Linked DNA regions of Coturnix japonica. The protein of the gene in region 2 interacts with the protein of the main gene of each other region in a biochemical or structural test. Links are inferred from orthologs where the notes say so. Each region holds a gene or a part of one and is shown on either strand. Other genes may lie near its edges. The genes, in order: alpha-1-antitrypsin-like and PLAU.

Region 1 (10,171 bases), on a different chromosome or scaffold from region 2:
TGTGCAGCTGGCTGAGTGTGTTTGATCTAGCCCCCAGTGAGAGCATTGCAAAGGCAGTAGAAAGGCTCAAGGGAGAGAAGAAAATGTTCTTGTTACCTCCCTCCTTTGCAACCTGCTTGTAAAACCTGAATGCAAATTCAGCATTGCTGGGGGCTATCTTCATGTGAGCCAAGTTTTCACCTTCCACATGCCCATGGTGTCCTATGGAATGAGGTCTCTCTTTCTTATGTTTGTTGCTGTGGTTGGGGTTAGGAAGCGCCTGGACTTGAAGTCCAACAAGAAACAAACACAAATACAATACAGGCTTCATTTTCCTTCTGAATAATTCTGTTGAGAAAGGAAAGATTACCTTGTAGAGAATGTTATATTTCCTGCATAAAAACAGTTCATTTTGTATTTGAAATACTGATTTTCATATGCCAGTGTTTAGGATTGCTACTTTCTTTCTATTGGGCCTCATCGCTAGTCCATTTCTGGTCTGCTCTATTTGTTTCCAACCAAGATACTAACATGACACCACTAGGGAAGAAATGATTCTGTGCTGGTTTTTGTGAGGTGTTGCTTTTTGTGAGGCACCTTATCTGAAATTGTCCTTGTGTCTGATCAGCATGGCATTATTGCATTTCTAAGGGTATCTGTGTATACAACTGAGTTTGCATATTGTTCCTATACATTCAGGAAGCACTTTGGCAGAGCACAGTAGACATAATCTTGTGATGACTTGGGTTTTCATGCACTGCAGTAATGAAGAGGTAACATCAGTTATAGTAGAAGAGAATCCATCTGATGCTTCACCATTTAAACTGTATCTTTCTGCCTCTGGTACAGCAGCTCTGAACTCAAGAACTGTGTAATTTCAGCACATTATCTTACATGTTTCAGTAAAATGAGGATAAATCAAGAAATTTTGTTGTATTTCTTCATTGCACATAAAGTATCCATAAGGCTATAAAACTGAACACACAAGAGTTTAGGAAAAGCTAGAGCAGAAGCTTAATTGTGGCCTTGCTGTGTATATATTTGGGTAATTGGATGACCTTTCGTCTTCCTTAAACTGATAGAAACAAATTCTACATAACCCCACAGTTTCTCTTCTTCCCTTTTTAGGAGATATTGTGGAAGTATGTTCTCCATAGAATATATCATGTAAATTATCTCAAATCAGAAATCTCAAAAACATAAAGGAGATAGCGTACTTCAGGAAAACAGAGGTGATGTCACTGTTCAGAGCAATAGCATGATTATTCTACAGTGTGTGAATCTGCCCCATGGTTTACCTCAGGTTGTGTCTGAAGCCAGGTTTGGGTCCTATATCAAACATTTCATGGAGAGTTGTTAAATTTGGATTTCTTCTTATGTGGCTGCCCTTTATGAAACACTTGAGATCTAAGATGTCTAAGTGCTGAGTGTGGGAACTGTGCTCAGTTTGCCTAAAATGACAGATAAAATTATAGACAGAGAAAAAGTAAAATCTAAATGAAAACAGTACACTATGATCCTGTAAATACTCTGTATGTAACACCAGAAATCTGCTTCTGAGAGAGATTAGTGTCAGCCCCTGTGCCACTTAACTGCAGTGTTTGAGGATGGTTGTGGTATCAATATATTACTCTCAGCTCCTGCGCTAGTCCTGTATCAGCCTAAAGTATCTAGGACATCGAGCTGCAAGTGAATTTACTCCTCTGGTAGTAGAGGCGGGGTTCAGTGTTTCACCTTGGGGTGAATGGCAGCTGAACATTCACTTTGGACCTCATCTCCCTTGTCATCCTGACACAGTATCTAAGAGCTGCATCACTGATGGAATCCCATTCTCAATGCATAGACCATGGTTCCAGAAGATAGATTTCCAACTACGTATTCAAAATAAAATCATCTCATAATTAAATACTATGTATTAAATTGCAGAGATCATAGACAATACAAGTTCAAATTCTTCTAAGTATGATATAGTACTTACAGTGTAGTTTAAAAAGAGTCTGCTGGACCTCTCATTCACAGTGCTCCTTCCCTACTCTCCGTTTTGCTCGGTAATATTAAGTTAATGTCCACTGGTAAATATTAATCAAAGCAAATAATATTTATTTGTAAAGCAAAGAATGAGTTAGCTACTTTTTTTTCTAGACATCAAACATCGTAACCCAGTTTTTCAACACATAGGTGAAATGATGCCAACATCTAGGGCTCAGAGGGTAAAGAGCAAGGTTCACACTACTCTTGCATTTGTGCAAACCTGTGGGCAAAAGCGCTTTGCATAGCACACTACCTTGGGATTTTAAAATCCACACAGTAAGAGAACTGGAAATCTAAGATAGGTGCTGAGTGATGTCTGGTTGTGAAAAGGGTAGTTTGTCCTACAGGACTCTCCGCATGGGATATCCTGATAGAAGGATATCTAATCAGCTACCTGAAGCACCAAAAAGCTAGGTCAGGAACAGCTCAGTACCTCCATATTGCCCTGCAATATGTGTTGCAGGGCACATTGTAAATATACTCTAATGAGATAAGTTGCTTCAAATGTAATGCCTTTTATTTCTTTCCATGGGGGAAAAAAAAAAAAAAAAAAAAAAAAAGTACAAAGAGCTCAATAACACTATTTGGTGGAGCAAATTGTAAGCTACAAAATGCTATTTCTTGTGATAATAACCACCATGAATTGATTTGTGTGAGTGAGATGACTGAGATGCAATCCATACCACAGTGTGACAGCTAGATTTGTATGTTGGAAATGTGGCTTGTCTTTCACACAGCTATCACCATTCCTGAAATGCATCACCCTCTGCCTCACTGTGTTTGCCTCTACTGCTTGGTCTCCAGAAGTATTTGGCAAGTGTTGATGAATGTCAGTAGGTGCACATTTTTCCACCTGGAGGAATTCAGTGGCATGCCTTTGCTTTACATGCACTTCCATGTCAGATACTCTAACAAGGGGCATGGCAAAAAACTTGTTATTCCAGTGTCTGAAAGGGAATTATTACTATCCTCCCATCCTACATCTCCTTTTTTCTAGAAGCCCTACCAATATTACAGATTATCGCTGTTTCATCCAACACCCACTCAACAGCACACTTTGTAGAGTTCATCAGGATTAATTTGCCAAACTCAATTTTAAACCATCCTCAGGGAGGAGCAGACATTGATTTCTATCCTCCAGGACAATATCCTTCACAGTACTCCAGATCTAATGCTAACTCTACTCTTGCAGTTTCAGCTTAATTAGGATGTTGGAGTCGTAGGATTGTCCATCTTCAGGTAAGGGAGGGCTGTGAAAACATGAATAATCTTGAATATCCCTGTAACCAAGGCAAATGCTCTGATTGCAGAGATTGGTATGATGGGTAACTGTTGCCTTAGAAAGGTCAGGTTCCACAGAGGAACTTGTTCTAATATTGAATTGCTCTCATAATCTGTCGAGTAAATCTTTAAGAAAATGAGAAACAACACACTGAGAAAGATAAAAGTATTTAACACTTCTTAAATAGTTGCTGCTGCTGAATCCAAAGGGTGGAACAGTGAAGGAGTCAGGCCGATACCACAAAAGTCTGGCTGTGTTTGTTGGCAAGTGTATCTTTTCTTGGTGCTCCAGCCCTTCACAGGTTCCAAGATTTGACTGAATTTTAACAGTACCTTGGATCCATAAAGCTGAATAAAATGTCTGATTGGCACAGACATCCTCAGAGTGCCAAGCAATCATTTTCTCATGGAAATACATGACCTTTTCCCATCAATAAAATTCATGTGGAAAAGAAAACATAAGATATACCTAAGTAGGCTGCATTTATATTCTAAATTTTCATGTCATCTCTTCAGGACCAGGACCTGGTAAGTACTGCAGACAGCTGGAGAAAACAACAGCCTTTTCCTACTTTCCTACTCATTATTCAGAAACAGTCTGCTTGCTCATTCATTATATACTGAACAGGTTTTAAACTGCTTCTCTCAGCTAGATACTTAACTTTTTCAGTGATATTGTATTGGTCATTAGAAGACTGATGTATGCACTGCTTCATAATTCCATGGTGAACGCATCTTGCTAGTTACTTTCTACTGGAGGAGGGAGCAAGGATGGTGATTTTAAGAGCGACCACATTCTTGTCTTAATTATTTTTAGAAAAAAAAATAAAATTACTAAAAGATTTAAAATAATTTTAATTACATCAGACTATAAATGCTTAAAGTGCTATTCAAATCAGTTAGACCTGCCACATGATCAACCATTTTTCAGTGGGTTTACAATTTTTCCTATGAAGAGGATACTTTCAGTGTATTGATCAACAATCAACAGCAAAAATGGACGGTTGAACTTTATAACAGGAGGAACAGAATGAGGAGCAAACTCTGTGCCAGTGACTGCTGCAGCCTCTGTGCCATTCTCATGAATTTTCAGCAGACCCTTGTGAATAGCCTACAAGGAAACACAGCAAGTATTACTGTACACAACAGGATGGGGGTGGAATGACTAAAATTGGCACAAAGTTAATTCACCTCCTGTCATTCACAGAAATGACTAGGAGGTCACAATCTAAGAAGGAAACTTAGTCTGAGGGAGGTGTTCTAGCAACGTCATCTCTATAAGGAGGAGCTGTTCTGTCTGTATCCCTAATACGTGATGGATTAAACTTTTGTCAGTAGAAAATAAATATTCATATCATTTTTTTTTTTCATTTTCAACATTTGTTTCACTAAAATCAAGATACTATAATGTTACAATTACTGCTTTCTCAATGCCCATAAAATTTTATTTTATCTTTGTATTATTTGTTCTTCCCAGGGAACAGGAAGCTTTCCTGTAGCCTGATCCCTCTTATGTGATTAGCACTTGCTAGTGCCTTCTATGGAAATAGTTTGAAAGTTCTTTAAAATTCTATAATCACATGCATGCATTAAAGAAAATAGGCCATTTTTTGTACTAGATATGCTCATGCAAAGCAACCCTAATATATGGAGTCTCGTTTTCTATGCTGAAACTATTTTGTTCTTGGAAAAATTTATATAAGCCTCTCAGCCTTTGTCACAACTTCAGGCTGACAGAAGGAAGGCAATATTCAAGATCCAGAAATAAGTCTGAAAAAATTTAAAGTTTCTCTACAAGCTAAAATGTTTGAATTCACAGAGTATAAATCATTCTCAGAACTAAGAATTATGCTGGAACATAACTTAAATCAAAGGAAATAAGGAATTCATAGACTTTTCTGTTGTCCAACTTACTCTTGAAACCTTCAGGTTGAACTTTCCTATGATTCCAGACAGATCAGCCTGGTCGGAAAACACATCTGTTATACCCAGATTCATGACCATCTTCTTTAAGTCATAGGTGCCAGAAATGGATACTTTTGGAATATGCACTTCCATCCTCCTATTAATTCAAAAGAGAGTTATGGTATTTATTATAATCAAGGTATAACTTGAAGTGTCCCAATTTGCTGGTAATTTTGTGCTGAAATTTTAGTCTTCAAATATAGAAAAAATGGCAACAAAATGTGGGAAGACAGTGGTCAGGATGATGATGGGAAAATGAAGTATTAGAAAGACATTACTTAGGGCTTGTTTCCAATCTTACAAGCACCCCCTGAATAGACAACAAGCAGTGATAGTGCCAGCACCATTGTGGGTACTTTTGCATTCATTTTCTAGCCCTCAATATATTATTTTTTATTTTTTTTTTTAATCATACCCCATTTTCTCCAAGGGATCGGGTTTCTATGTCACAGTAGTATCACTGTTAACATACTACATTTGGGAAAAGGAAGTGGAGATCTTGACTATCAACTGAAAAAGGTAAAGAAATTGAAGCTGTTTCTCAGCTCACAAATCTATTCCCTCACTACAATGCAGTGCCAGTTCAGATTGCTGCTGAAAAACCTGTGCAAACCAGTACATTGTTTAGTCTATCCATTTATACCTGTCCCATTACTTAAACCTCTACTGAACAACAAAACCTTATAACTGTAAAACTTGATTATAGTGTTTAGGCCTCAGGTTCTGACTATTGTGAAGTATCAAATTAGAATTTACCGTCTTTCAAGTGATTTTTCCCATTTAGACACTGTGTCTTTCATCAGACCATCCTCCAGCCTTTTCATTTTTCCTTCATTGGGCAGGATAAACAGTGCTGAAACATTTCCCTTGTAAGGAATCCTCACCACCTTGCATGACAGCTTCTTGTCAGAATATATGTCATAAAAGCTATCTCGAATCATCATCTTCACTTCAACCAAAGTCTTTTCATTCACATAGAAATAATCCTTGTGAGTCCCTTTCATATTGAAAGGATTTTCCCAGTAGGCTTAAAAATAAGAGAGAAAGAATACATTTGCATGCTTATTTTAAGGAGGATATGTTAAAATAGTCTAGTCTAATTTACACCAAATACATTCATATCTAAAGATTTATGCTCATAATTGAAGATCAAAGGAAATCAAAATTTATTCAAGGTCTTGTTCCCTGTCATCTCTGCTATAATATGTTCAAGTAACAATTATCCAAGATTAAACTTCAGACAGGTGTTGCAAGTCAGATAAATCAAATGAAATAACTTCATGATGTTACCTTAAATTTATTTGAAGAAAAGGAAAAATGTGAAGAAAAAGAAAATAAAAGTGCCTAACTGTGGTCGAATGAGTTAATTTACAACCACTTTGCTTGCTATGTAAGTTCCCCAGCAGACGCCTGCCTTTTTAAAGGTGATGTGTTATGCTCCTCCCATGCTTTCTCATCTGTTTCTCATCTGGTATCACTAAAGAAAAACTTCAGTGAAAGAACAACCTGAACTTTCGGGTCTGATAGTAACTACATTACAGTAAGTGGAACAGGGCTTCTAAGGCTTTAACCTTCCATCCTTGTTCAAATGACTTTTTAGTTGCATTTTGCTTATATTAAATCAAGTCATTCACTGAACAAATACATACAGTTCACTGTTTGTCATTCCAGATCTAAGTGCATTTGTTTTTTAAATATTGAACAGAAATGAAATAAAATTGAAAATTAAGTAGTAGAGCATAAACACTGAAGTACTTCAACTACTTTATGAGTTTGAACTCCCATCATAATTTCTTATCATCACAATCCACTTCTAACTAGGGTACCTAGATTTAATAGAGCGCTTGAAATAAAAACTATTTTGCTGAATGTTTCTACCTACTGACACCTTCCTGGGTGATAAATTCAGTTTACATCCTGCATGCTGCTACGAATGGATATTACCTTTAAGAAGCTAATCATTGCTAAAGCAGCAAATTCTCAAGTCCATCCTGGCGTATATATATAATGTAATGACTGGCTGTAGAACTTTTAGAGCCCAACTCCATAGATATGCACCTATTTAATAAGCCTAGGTTGTAGGCCAATTGAAGATTTGTCATTTTTTTAATAATCTTAGGAATTTGGTTTGTTTCTTCATACAGGATATATACTGACTGCAGAGTAATTTTTGCAATAAAACAAAAGTCTGATAGAAAAATCCACAAATGCATACATGTGCTGTGCTCTGATAAGTCCTGAAGATTGCAAATAAGTAAATTTTTGTGCTTACAAGCTAGAAATATGCTTGAAAAAAAAATCACAGATGTATTAAAAGGTTTCAAAGTGTGCAAACTTGCAATGCTTCTTATAGTTTTAACACTGTCCTTCTTTTAAAAGTAATTCATAAATAATCTGGGATTTGGTTTTAGTCCAAGGCAAACTTGGATACTGCAGTAGCATCTGTATAACTGAACTTACCTTTGAAATAAATATAGTTAACAAGTACCATTAAAGAGTTTGGATCGAGGTCCTTAAGTATTTGATTTATCTTCCCATGTGTTTTGTTTTTTATATGATCATTGATCTCTTTTTTAGCCTCAGTGGAATTCTGAAAGTTACTAGAAATAATTTCCCCCTTGTACAGATTTTTCATGTCCTTCAGAAATGTTGTCAGTGGCTTCAGGTGTTTGTCCATGAACAAGGTATTTCCCATGCTCAGCTCCACCTGGCTGCCAGGACGGTTCAGCAGGAGAAGAAGATGGTGAAAGCCAAGGTGTATCTCCTCCTCCCTGTTGCTGGTGAGATTAAAGGCCAGCCCCTCCAGCAGCTGAGCCTGGGTTGTAGCTCTGGAGCCCAGGGCCAGCAGGGCAAGGGCAGCAGAGACACTGACTGGGGAGAAGAAAATATTCATGCCAGGTGCTTGGACAGTTGCTTGCCTGTAAAACCTGAAGGCAAAGTCCGTGTTGCTGGGGATTATATGCTTGCAGAAAGCAAGAGAATCTTCCTCATGAGGATGCTGCTCATGAAGGTGAGTTGCTCTGGGCTCTTCATTGTGGTGGTCAGTCTGTCTCACACTGGGTACTGCAGGGTAAAGGATGGCCAGCAGTGAGCATAGCAGGAGGATGGCCTTCATCATACTTTTCTGCTACTGTGAGGACAAAAATAAATTGTGTTGGACCATGGAGAATGGCCACGTGAACATATCATCTTTTATTTATATCTGCTGCTACCCACAAAAGTTATTAACGCTGTTAATCTCCTGACCTGCTCCTTTATTATGACACAGTTTTGAAACACTCCTGCTTTGATCTCAGATGTAACTCATATCAATTACTGCCCACTTCAGTTCTGCTTTCCTCCAGCTACACAAGTCCCTAGTTACTGGATGCTTGTGAAGAGAGTAGCATGTGATTATTAAAGGGAAACATGATTCAGAAGGAGAAAGAAAATTAAAAGGTTCATTGTTTTTTTTTTTTTTAATCTCACTGTAGATCCATTTTATGGTATGGTGACACATCAGAAACAACTCTTGCATCTACTGTGTTTACCTCTAAGAACTCTCATGTTTAGCATGATATTTGTGATTGTAAGAGGCTTATGTCAAATGACTGAGCTATGTCCGTGGAAAACAAGAAAAGTTTACAACAGTCATAACATCATCTCTCTCATTCCTGATTCATTTTAACACATGAAGTGAGTAATCACAAGCAAGTTAGTGATGTTTTCCTGCTTTAGCACCTGATTATATCAGAATACATTGCTTTATTTTAAACCATCACTCAACTAATGCACATCTTCCAGACGGGTTCCTCTATTTGTGCAACCCACAATGGTGATGAGATGGTGCAGCCACTGCAGTAGGCTTGGCATATCCTGTCTGTCTAAAATTTGTATGACTAGGGAACCCTCCTTTCAGCAAAGGTAACTTTATGTATCCTGCTTGAAACACACTGGTGTAAATAAGACACCTCATTCACGTTGGAGCTTTGGCTATCACACCACATACTTTAGAGAACTTCAGTAACTGTATCATACCAGAATGACTGCTGGAAAGTCAGAATATTTTCCCTCTCCTTAAATAAGATGATTTCTTCTAGAAACGAAATAGATATTTTGGATAAATATTCATAGCAGAGCTATACCTGTAGAGCTGCTGTAATGTATATCCATGATTTGCTATTCAGTATTTCTTGGAAATTAAATTCAGCTGTCATTTGAGTGCTTAGAAACCAAGTTTCACCTTTAAAAGCAGATGTGCTTCATGACTCACTAACTAAATGTCACATAGCTGCATCAAAGTCTTTAAAGTAAAGATATCTGGGTACTTACATTGCATTCAGAAGGGTCCTGCTCTTGCATGGATTTTGCTCTTGTTGCTTTACTGCTGTTTTCCTCTGTTAAACATTACATGGCCTCAAATACAGATAATCTAAAAGGATAAAGCTAAATGCTGATGAAGCTAATTTTCTTGGCTGCCATATTCACGTGAACACATCCCTACTCCAATCAGAGCTAAGACCACGGGACAAAGGCAGTAGGTTGAGGAGAGTGCTATGCTCCATGAGGGTCATAAAGCAATGCCAAAGCAAGTATTAATTGGAAATGAGATTCTGTGCCAAATACAGCTATTTTTCTCTCTGTGTTACCTGAGATGGAAACTGACCTTCCTCTGGAGCTGTACAGTTCCACCCAGCACTAAGCTCTGACATCTAAGTTCAGGGTAAGATAGCTATGGGGAATACCTCTCCTTTTCTGTGATGCTACTTGGCCTATCATGTATTTGACATTTGTGAGAGCAGTATACACACCCAATTCCTTTACATAGAGACTTCCCTTGTTTCCTGAAGATAGCGTGTTTTTGCTGAAGTGCAAAAATCACACAGAATCACATTGGTTCCTAACCTTGATAGTATTGAAATTAATATGCTTTTCA
Region 2 (9,484 bases):
CTGAATTTAATCTCTAGAATAAGTTTACATCACAGACAGTTCTCTAGATTGAAAAAAGAGCAACAGGGATCCTACTTTAATGTTATCTTCACTATTTCTTAGGGGATCCACTTGCTCGCAATATTCAGACATCTCAGAGAGATAGGAAAAAATCACTCTCCTGAAATGCAGGAAGATTCCTTCCTTACCTGTGCCCATTTCTGGACTTTCATCTTGATCCATTTTTCTTGTCTCAGTTTCTGTTATCCAGTGAATGTGCACTCAATACACTTTCTGTGGAGAAGCCTGTTCCAACATAAGCCTGAGGAGCTGAAACACAACAAAAAGGAATAGAACAAATAAGCATATAGTTCCTCAGTAAGGGTGCTTTTACAACAAAGACTCAACATAAACAGAAGATGTAGAGGGAAGAAGAAAACTCAACCATTCTCTTGCCAGGTTAGATGTCAAACACAGAAGGGTGATCTTCTTAAGATCTGGACAGCCCGATTATGAAAAGCATTCCTTCCAAAGGAAATTCATGTCAGCCCCTGTTCTGAAGCAGCACCTGAAGAAACTGTCTTTCATCAGCTACCCAGCTGTGGGAGACCTGCCTCAACTTAGTCACCCCAGTACCTGAGGCTGAATGCTGCCACTATGCCTGCAAGTACCACGCGTGGGTTTTGTTATTCACTGCACTGCTGCAGTGTCACAGCCCAATGTGAGAAATCACACTTGACTGGGAGTAGAGGAGACTGTCTGTTTCCCGGGGCCTGCAGTAGGAGACAGGATGTCCCCAGTCATAAAATGGTTGCCCTTCAAATAGCTCTTTGGAAAGCAGAAACTATCACAGCAAAGACACGGCACCTCTTGGAGGAGTGCAGGACCTCAGGCTATGGACACTGCAGCTCAGTGCTCACCGAGCAATGGCTTTGAGACAAAGGAGACCCTAAGGCCCAGAGCTTCAGTACAGGTGTGTTCTGTCCTCACCCACACCTGAGTGGAGTTAATTCTCTTAACCATAAAGGCATTTAGGCTTCATTCTTCACGGACGGCGCCACAAGTCTGAAATTTAAATACCCCACGCTTGTTTGCTCCTCCAGGCACACTTCAACACAAGCCATTCTTTTCGTAGCTGCCTCTCAGGTTTCTCTTTTGTTTTAACACGCCTAATTGCACATCGCTGGCCGCCCCACGAAGGCGAGGAGGAGCCCCGCGCCCCCTTCAGGCTGCTCGCGCTCCCCCGCCCCAAAACCAGCAGCAGCCCCAATTCCCCGAGCCGGCCCCGCTGCGCACACAGACAACAGCGATGCTCCCGCAGCCCCGGGGGGCAGCCCGGCCCGAGGGGGCGGCGTGGCCCTGCCCGGGGGCGGCGCTGCGGAACGCCTGGGGGCGGGCGGGCAGCGGCTGAGGAACCGCCCCGGCCGGGCCTTTATAGAGCCCGTCCCGCACCGCTGCTGCAGCTGCACCGTGCTCGGCTCAGCCGCTTCAATCGGTAAGTGCTGCGTCCGCGGACAGCGTTGCGGCAGGCTTCAGAGATCGCTCTTGAAATCAGAGACGTGAGAACATAGATTGCGTGTAGCGGCGGTAACGGCAGGGCTTTGCTCTGCACGCTGCCAACTGGCAGCGGGATTCGAGCAGAAATGGGCAGCGCTGCTGCTGGATGCTGTGGGGTGGGCCTGGGAACAGAATCACGGTAACGGACAGCAAATTTCTTGCATACCTGCCGGGGGATTAAAAATTACTGCTTTAGTGTTAATAACACTCAAGAGAACGTACATCTGCTGCAATCCCAGCTGCATTGGAGAAGCACAGTCTGCTTTCCCACGTTATGAAGCCTGCCTCTGAGCAGAGGCTGCTGCTGCATTAGCAGCTCACTTTGAGCCATGTCTTTCTTGAAATAAACCCACTGTCCCTCTCACATACCTGGGTCTTAAAGTCCAGGCACTGTACCTCTCCATCGTTAAACTTAAGGGATGTATTCCTATTGTCTGTAGTCATTCCGTTTTTGAGACTGATCTAAAATTGGTCTGATGGCAAAACCTCTGAAAGCACGGAGCTGCACTCCAGCACCTGCTCTGCAGTGCGTTGCTCACTAGTGTCGTACAAGTCTGTGGCTTTTAAATTTCACTCATTTTTTTTTAGAAGATTCTTTTCCGTTTCATAAATAATAATCTGGCATTTATTCCCATGACTTGCACTGCACATTTTTATATTTGTTGGTTTTTTAAGCAAATTAGTACTCAGTATCTCTTTCCCCCTACCCTTTTTACAGGCTGATTTGTAATGCTCACTCTTGGGCTGATTGCTTTGTGTGCTCGGCTGCAGGAGGCAGCTGCACGCATCAAATCAGGACAGAAGAGGTTTAAGCTTGTCTAATACCATACAGGCAGTAACCGCGGGACCAGACTTTCAGGACTTTGCAGTGCTCAGCGAGGTGCCTGGGCTTACGCAAGGGCTCAGCAGCTCAGGAGGCACTGAGAGCTGAGTGTTCCTTCCCACGCATCAACATGCATGTTCAGACCATTTAGAAGTCTTGCTGCAAGGCAGTAATAATCAGTTAAGCAAGCACAAAGAGCTGGACTGCAGCTAAATAAATCTGCTGCTTTCTGACTGCTAGTCCACACTGCAGTTACCCAGAGTATGGATTTCTCCCATCTCTGCCTCGTGTGAACTCTGCAAAATCTGGCTGTGTTTCAAAATGCACAGAATAGCTTTAAGTGATAAAATCATACCCTCTAAGCTGATTTATGGAAATAATATGCAGACATTCCACTGATAAGTCAGGTCTTAATTCTTCTGCCCACTGTATTGTTATTCAAACCAGGTAAAACAACAGCAATGAGAAAGCTGATGCTGCAAGCTACAACGTGTCACTGAATTCCTCTTTTATTTTCAGAATCGAACGAAAACTAACACGAGGAACAAAGTGAGAACTTAACTGTCAACATGAAGTTACTCATCTTTCTCACAATAACTCTCTGCACGCTGGTCATGGGACTAGATTCAGTAAGTTTTGAAATAAGTGAGGAGGTTTTTTTTTACTTAGATCCACTTCTGTTTTTCAATTATACTTCTGCTTTGGACAGGGTGCTGGGCTTCTGACTTTAATTCTTCTTTCTGCTGCCTTTGCATTTACATCTGCTGCACATATACCTCTGGAAAAATGCGTATTTGAACCCTTTGTTTCTTCCGATTCCTTTCTTCCCTGAGATGTCTTCTAGAGTTAAAATAGTGAGGACATCACACAGTATCCAAGAAATCCAGCACTTATCTTTTCATAAAGCAACTCAGACCACAGAGTATCAAGAACTCAGTGGTGCTTTTTACGTAGGAGGGTATTGGTCCTCCACTAAATTTGTCTTCGCCCTCCTGAATACAAAGCTGAAAAAGGAGACATGGACCCGATTTTGAATATTTTGACTATCATACACAAGCATGAAGCACCAAGGTCCCCAACAACAGACAGCTGGAGCACGTTCCACCTTTGCTGGACTGCTCAGTACCTGAGAGTCGGGGAGGGAGAAGTTGTAATAGAAACATGTCAAAGGAACTGCCTCCTTCAATAATTTTTTTCCTTTTTACCTTAGGTTTACCTCAGGCAGTACTACAAGTTACCACATAAACACAGATCCCAACATAGAGGTAAGTATCTGTTCTAATTAAACATAAAAAGAACCTGCAATTACATCTTCATCAAAGAGAGATGACTTTCAGTGATATGCAGCTAAAACTTATTTTGCAACTGCATTTCACTCAACCACTCAAGTGTTTCACCTCTTACTAATGATGTCTTTTATTTGCAGAATGCCACTGTCTGAATGGTGGAACCTGCATTACCTATCGCTTCTTCAGCCAAATTAAACGTTGCCTGTGCCCAGAAGGATACAGTGGGCTTCACTGTGAAATAGGTAAAGTATCCAATTTCCTTAATACTAACTAACTGACTGAACAGGAAATGTAAGCAAATCACAAATAAGGATTCTCAAGTGAAAGTTTTAATATCCTTCATCAATTTTTAATAATAATCAAGAAGAGGAGAAACAGCCAAATATCAAAGCAAAATTGGAGTCTTGCATTTTCTTGTCCCTGCTTCCTTACAAGTGTTCTTGCACTCCTCATGAATGTTGTAGCTTGTAAACTTGTTTAGGAGTGTCCAGAAGCAAAACAAATAATTATAGCATGAAGTACACTGAAATTGCTTTAAAAAAAGAAAACAAAACAAAAACACACACACACAAAACAAACCACCAAAAGCAATATGCATGGATTAAAGCATGTTATTTCATGCATAAAATTCAGAGAACAAATCCAATAAGAATAGGTAATCAATTCAGGTTTTGTATCATCCTTTTTTATCATATAACACATGCATGCTTTATCACTAAAGTGATCCACACAGATTACTTCTGTTTCAGAACAATTATAAAACAGAACATGCTGCTAACGAATGTTTGTTTTCTCAGACACTGACAGCATGTGCTACAGTGGGAATGGGGAGACATACAGAGGAATGGCAGCAGATCCAGGTTGTCTATATTGGGACCTTCCTTCAGTAATCAGGATGGGCGACTACCATGCTGATTTGAAGAATGCTCTGGATCTTGGACTGGGCAAACACAACTACTGCAGGTAAGATGATGCATCATTCTTCCTGTGACAATACCAGCAGAGCTTTGAGTGATACTACAAGTCCAAAGGGATAGCAGAATATTTCAGAGATCAACTTGAATTTAAAAATATTTGGAACGGGACTCTCTGAAGTGCCTGGAGTTCTTACTGCTTACTGAAACAGCTGGGAATTTCACAGAGCCATCGTATCACATTAACAACTCCAAAGGGAAGTTTCACTTATGACAAAACAAACTGCCAGTTCCGTATTCAAAAAATTAATTGGTTTCTCCAGCATATCTTACAAGAAAGACACCTTTGGCTTTTCCAGTTAGAATTCTAAAATACTATCCTTTTTTAAAGAACTGGGTTTATAAAAAAAGAACATTTCCTTTATTTTCCAGAAACCCAAATGGAAGGAGCAGGCCCTGGTGCTACACCAAAAGATACGGATACTCCATTCGAGAAACACCTTGCAACACTATAGAGAAGTGTGGTAAGTGACACTGGTTTCAAGACAATGGATTTCTAGCACAAAGTTGATGCTTGCCAGCCATGTGAACATCTGTACAAAACTCTCTTCCATAGGGCACACATGTGGCCAAAGAAGCTTCAGCAAGTACTTCAAGATTGTTGGTGGAAGCCAGGCTGATGTTGAGACTCAGCCTTGGATAGCTGGCATCTTCCAAAACATGATGGGCACGGACCAGTTTCTGTGCGGTGGCAGCCTCATTGACCCTTGCTGGGTGCTTACAGCAGCACACTGCTTCTATGATCCGTAAGTGTAAAGTTCTGAATTTCTGCATCCTTCCTATCTGCAGTTTCCTTTGATAGATTTTCTATATCTTCCCCTCACTCTGAATGAGCAAACCTTAAGCAGACAAAGAGGAGCAGCCGTGAACTTTAAGCCTCTGAAAGTCCATGCCTAGCAAAATACAAACATCTTGGTGGATTATGCAGCTGAAACAATTTTAGCTTGAATTGGAGCCGGGATTTCTCTTTAGCTTAGCTATTCCTAAAACCTAAACATTGTCTTGATGTACATTCAGTGCATTTTTTTTTTTTTCTTGTGGAAAGCTGATCCTCCTTGCATTCCGCCAGGGAGTTTCACTGCTGATACCAGACATGAGTAGCAGCTAGCCAGGTGTGCCTCTCATAGTGCATGAACATCTAGCTTATTCACCTCAAGTGGTGAATCAGCAGACCTTCCTGTAGCATACTTGATCAACACTCTTGTTGCTTTGTCTTGTCTGCATTTAAGTAAACATGAAACCAAACTGGTACTTGATTTTAAGTTGTTAACCCTACTCTCAGAAATAGCAGCCTTCATGAATCTTTTTACTTTAACAGGACAAAAAGGCAACCGAATAAGTCAGTCTACAAAGTCTTGCTTGGAAAGTCTGTACTGAATGCTACTGATGGACATGAGCAAGAGTTCATGGTGGATGAAATAATCTCTCATCCTGACTTTACAGATTACACAGGAGGCAATGATAATGATATTGGTAAGTGTCATCTTAATATGAACCTTTCAAACACTGAGGAATATGTCAAATAAATGTACAACTAGAGCAGAGATGAAGGGAACAGGAGCCAAGTAGTTCTAAGAACTGGGTCAGTGGTGAGCAAGATCATTCCATGTCATGTGCCACAAGGTAGACAGACACACAGATGCAAAATGTGTCACCTGACATATAGTAAAATACTGTAGACTGAGACACAGTGCATGCACAGTAGGTTACATTATTTGGCAAGGGAATGCCATATCAGCTAGCATATTAGGTAGCATATTAACTAAAAGTTCCCCTGAAATAAGCCTTATTTCCTGAAGTCTCTCCCTGCTTTACAAACCTCTCCCTAAACAAATGAATTCAGATAGGTTTTTGTAACATGCACAGAATGGACTTGCCACCCTTGCACTTGACACTGAACCCTTGCCTATGACCTGAATTCTGTTACTCAATGATGCAAAATTATTGTCACTAAATAATGATCCTTATAATTCCAAAAGCAATGAGATGAACCATATAATGAGAACTTCCTTTACAAATTTAAGTAATCTTATGTTTTGTTTTGTTGTTGTTAGCTTTGGTAAGAATAAGAACAGCTTCTGGACAGTGTGCAGTAGAAACCAACTATGTCAGAACAGTCTGCTTGCCAGAGAAGAACCTTGACCTGCACGACAATACCCGGTGTGAAATAGCTGGCTATGGAAAACAGAATTCTTGTAAGTGAACAAATTCTTTCCAAACTGTTACTTAGTCTCTGTTGGAAATGGTTGACTTTTTTAAAGACCATGACCTTCACAAGACCCAGAGACTCACTGCTACTACTCCATGTACCTCATTCAACTCTCAAGGATGACCTTTTTTCCCCTTTTTCCTAGACGATATTTACTATGCTCAAAGGCTGATGTCAGCCACTGTAAACTTGATATCACAGGACGCTTGCAAATATAAATACTATGACAGTATCAGAGTTACTGACAACATGGTCTGTGCTGGAGACCCGGCGTGGGAAACAGATGCATGCAAGGTAAAAAAATAATAATAGTAATAATAAATCTTTGTTGTTCATATAAATGACTTTAAATGAAGCATACTGAATGGATCAACTATAGCATAGCAGCATCTTGTAATTCTGCTACTTAAGAGAGTCTTCGAGTAGAGGGAATTCACTATAGCTAGTAGAGTTGACTCAGGGTGGCTGAAGACAGGGAAGCAAGTAAGAACATGGAGTTTGGTGTAAACCCCTCCAGGTCAGCCTCTCACAGAGCAGCAGCTGCAATGCCTTAATCGTTGCTGCTCTTGGAGATGTTACAATTTGTTCTGGCAGTGGCTGGTAGATAAACACATCAGAGGCGGTCTCAGCTACACTTACTTAATCTTAAGTACAATTCTGCAGTGGGATAATGGATGGCTAAAAGAGATGGATAACAGGAAGATACTGAGGCCTTATGCAGATTCCTCAAAACTGGATTTGCTTCCCTCCACCTTCACTGGGCAGCCTGACCAATACATCTCTTAAGAAAAAACAGAGTTAGCCTTAAGTGTGCTGGGGGATGATTAATGACGTGATGCAGAATAGGGCATGTTTGCTTTGACCTTGTTCAACCACCTTAACAGCTATGATTATGAGCTGTAACAAAGTAATTGTTCCACCTGGGCAAGCTAAGGGGACTAGAGAACTCTTGACTGCGCTGTAGTTGAAACAGGAGCTGAACATTCTCTTCCATTTATACAGTACTCTAAATATATATATTAAATATATATATACACACACACACACACACACACGAGAATTTTAGCTTTTATCTACTGTTTGTTTCAATTCAGAAAAACAGTAATCACAGGCTCCCTGTTATCAAAGTTCCATCTACAGAAAACATCCTAATACGTTCTTTTTCCATTGTCAGGGAGATTCTGGCGGCCCCATGGTCTGTGAGCACAATGGCAGGATGACACTTTATGGGATTGTCAGCTGGGGAGATGGCTGTGCGAAGAAAAACAAGCCTGGCGTTTACACCAGAGTTACTCGCTACCTTAACTGGATCAACTCAAATATGAATGCAGTGGTTACCAAAAGTCGCTCTTTCCCTGAACCAAAGTGACTGTTTGTGTACTTCTGGACTTAAATGACAGTAAGACTGTGGTGATGCCAGGGCACCAAAGCCCTGAACGTCAGAGTTCTTGCTTTTAACTGATCACATAGATTGCCACTACAGTGTTTCTGATGCAGAAGTTGATACTATCTCACTACTCTTAATTACTGAAAACCACTCAATGGGAAACTAAAATATTTAACATTTAAATGAGTATTCCCATGCACAATACTGTACACATCAAGTTAACTGTCCACTTCATTTACAAACTGGCATTTGTTCTGGAGCTTTTGGTGAAGCTTTAAGTTATTTTACTTGTGCATTTTGCATACAGCATCTAACATCTTTTCCCATCACTCCAAACAATGTGGAATGATAGAAACCTGACCTGTGAAGACCAGTACTGGGAATGTGAACAGGCTTTGCCTCAGAATGTGCAAGAAACTGCATCAGTGTTGATTATCATTAATGTGTGAAGAAGGACTGAAGCAGAACTTGGTATACAGGACTTGTTCCCGTAGACCCAAAGAATACTAAAATCTTTGTGATGGCAACTACAGCTGTGTTAGAATTAAAAACTCTTGTGGTATTCCACCAAAGAACTGCACTAAAGAGGGAAAACAAATAATGTGACTACACTTCCAGGTCCCATCCAAAGGAGCCTGGGTTCCCTTAGAAGTCTGATGGTACCACTTTTCTATATTACCTATGCAACACAGAGAAGAGCTAAGGATTCAGCACACACTGAGTGTTGAAAGCCAGAACCTTATTTCCATTCATCTAACTGATATGATATGGAAACTGCTTCCCCCCCCCCAAGACTTTCACTGATTTTATTTTTAAACTTGTTTTTTTTTTTTTTTTTCTTTTTTTATAGATGGAATTATTTGCATGAGGGCTGGAACCTCATCTTATTTAATTTTTACTATGTTTAACTTATTATTTGTATTATATATGTAAAACTATCAATAAAACTATTATTCTTACATAGCTGTTCCTTCTTTTGAAAGGGGAAGACTATGTTTTGAAGTTCTAATGTCAGTCACTGTTTCATTTGGTAAAATGGGGATGTCCAAACTTCCTTTCATGCATCTTTAATTAATATCTTCAGCTCTGGTAGACGGTACTAAAGTAAGTACAGCAGATAGTGATACAGCATGCAATAAATAATAACCAAGATCCATACAATATATGTTGCAGGATTTTGTATAAACTAGATGCTCCCAAGTAACTGCAGCACATTTGGTTTGAATTCCTAAAGCAAACTACATCATTTTGGTTTCACCTTAAAGA

What was found.
Region 1: the proteins of PLAU (region 2) and alpha-1-antitrypsin-like form a complex in vitro, tested with the Homo sapiens proteins (2 studies listed by BioGRID). The link is inferred for Coturnix japonica from reciprocal best matches to the Homo sapiens genes PLAU and SERPINA5.

What each region holds. Positions count from the first base shown.
Region 1 is NC_029520.1:41,320,537-41,330,707, forward strand, and holds the end of alpha-1-antitrypsin-like, read right to left. Parts: intron 9,681-10,171; exon of another isoform or gene 9,568-9,680; intron 8,387-9,567; 5' UTR 8,375-8,386; coding exon 7,717-8,374; intron 6,284-7,716; coding exon 6,013-6,283; intron 5,354-6,012; coding exon 5,206-5,353; intron 4,403-5,205; coding exon 4,208-4,402; 3' UTR 4,123-4,207; downstream 1-4,122. Other genes in the region: alpha-1-antitrypsin-like, read right to left, coding at 1-310. UniProt on the Homo sapiens protein: Heparin-dependent serine protease inhibitor acting in body fluids and secretions. Inactivates serine proteases by binding irreversibly to their serine activation site. Involved in the regulation of intravascular and extravascular proteolytic activities.
Region 2 is NC_029521.1:13,074,175-13,083,658, reverse strand, and holds PLAU (urokinase-type plasminogen activator), read left to right. Parts: upstream 1-1,345; 5' UTR 1,346-1,474; intron 1,475-2,878; 5' UTR 2,879-2,928; coding exon 2,929-2,988; intron 2,989-3,569; coding exon 3,570-3,624; intron 3,625-3,785; coding exon 3,786-3,890; intron 3,891-4,445; coding exon 4,446-4,611; intron 4,612-4,994; coding exon 4,995-5,086; intron 5,087-5,178; coding exon 5,179-5,368; intron 5,369-5,940; coding exon 5,941-6,095; intron 6,096-6,676; coding exon 6,677-6,817; intron 6,818-6,976; coding exon 6,977-7,125; intron 7,126-8,005; coding exon 8,006-8,200; 3' UTR 8,201-9,179; downstream 9,180-9,484. UniProt on the Homo sapiens protein: Specifically cleaves the zymogen plasminogen to form the active enzyme plasmin.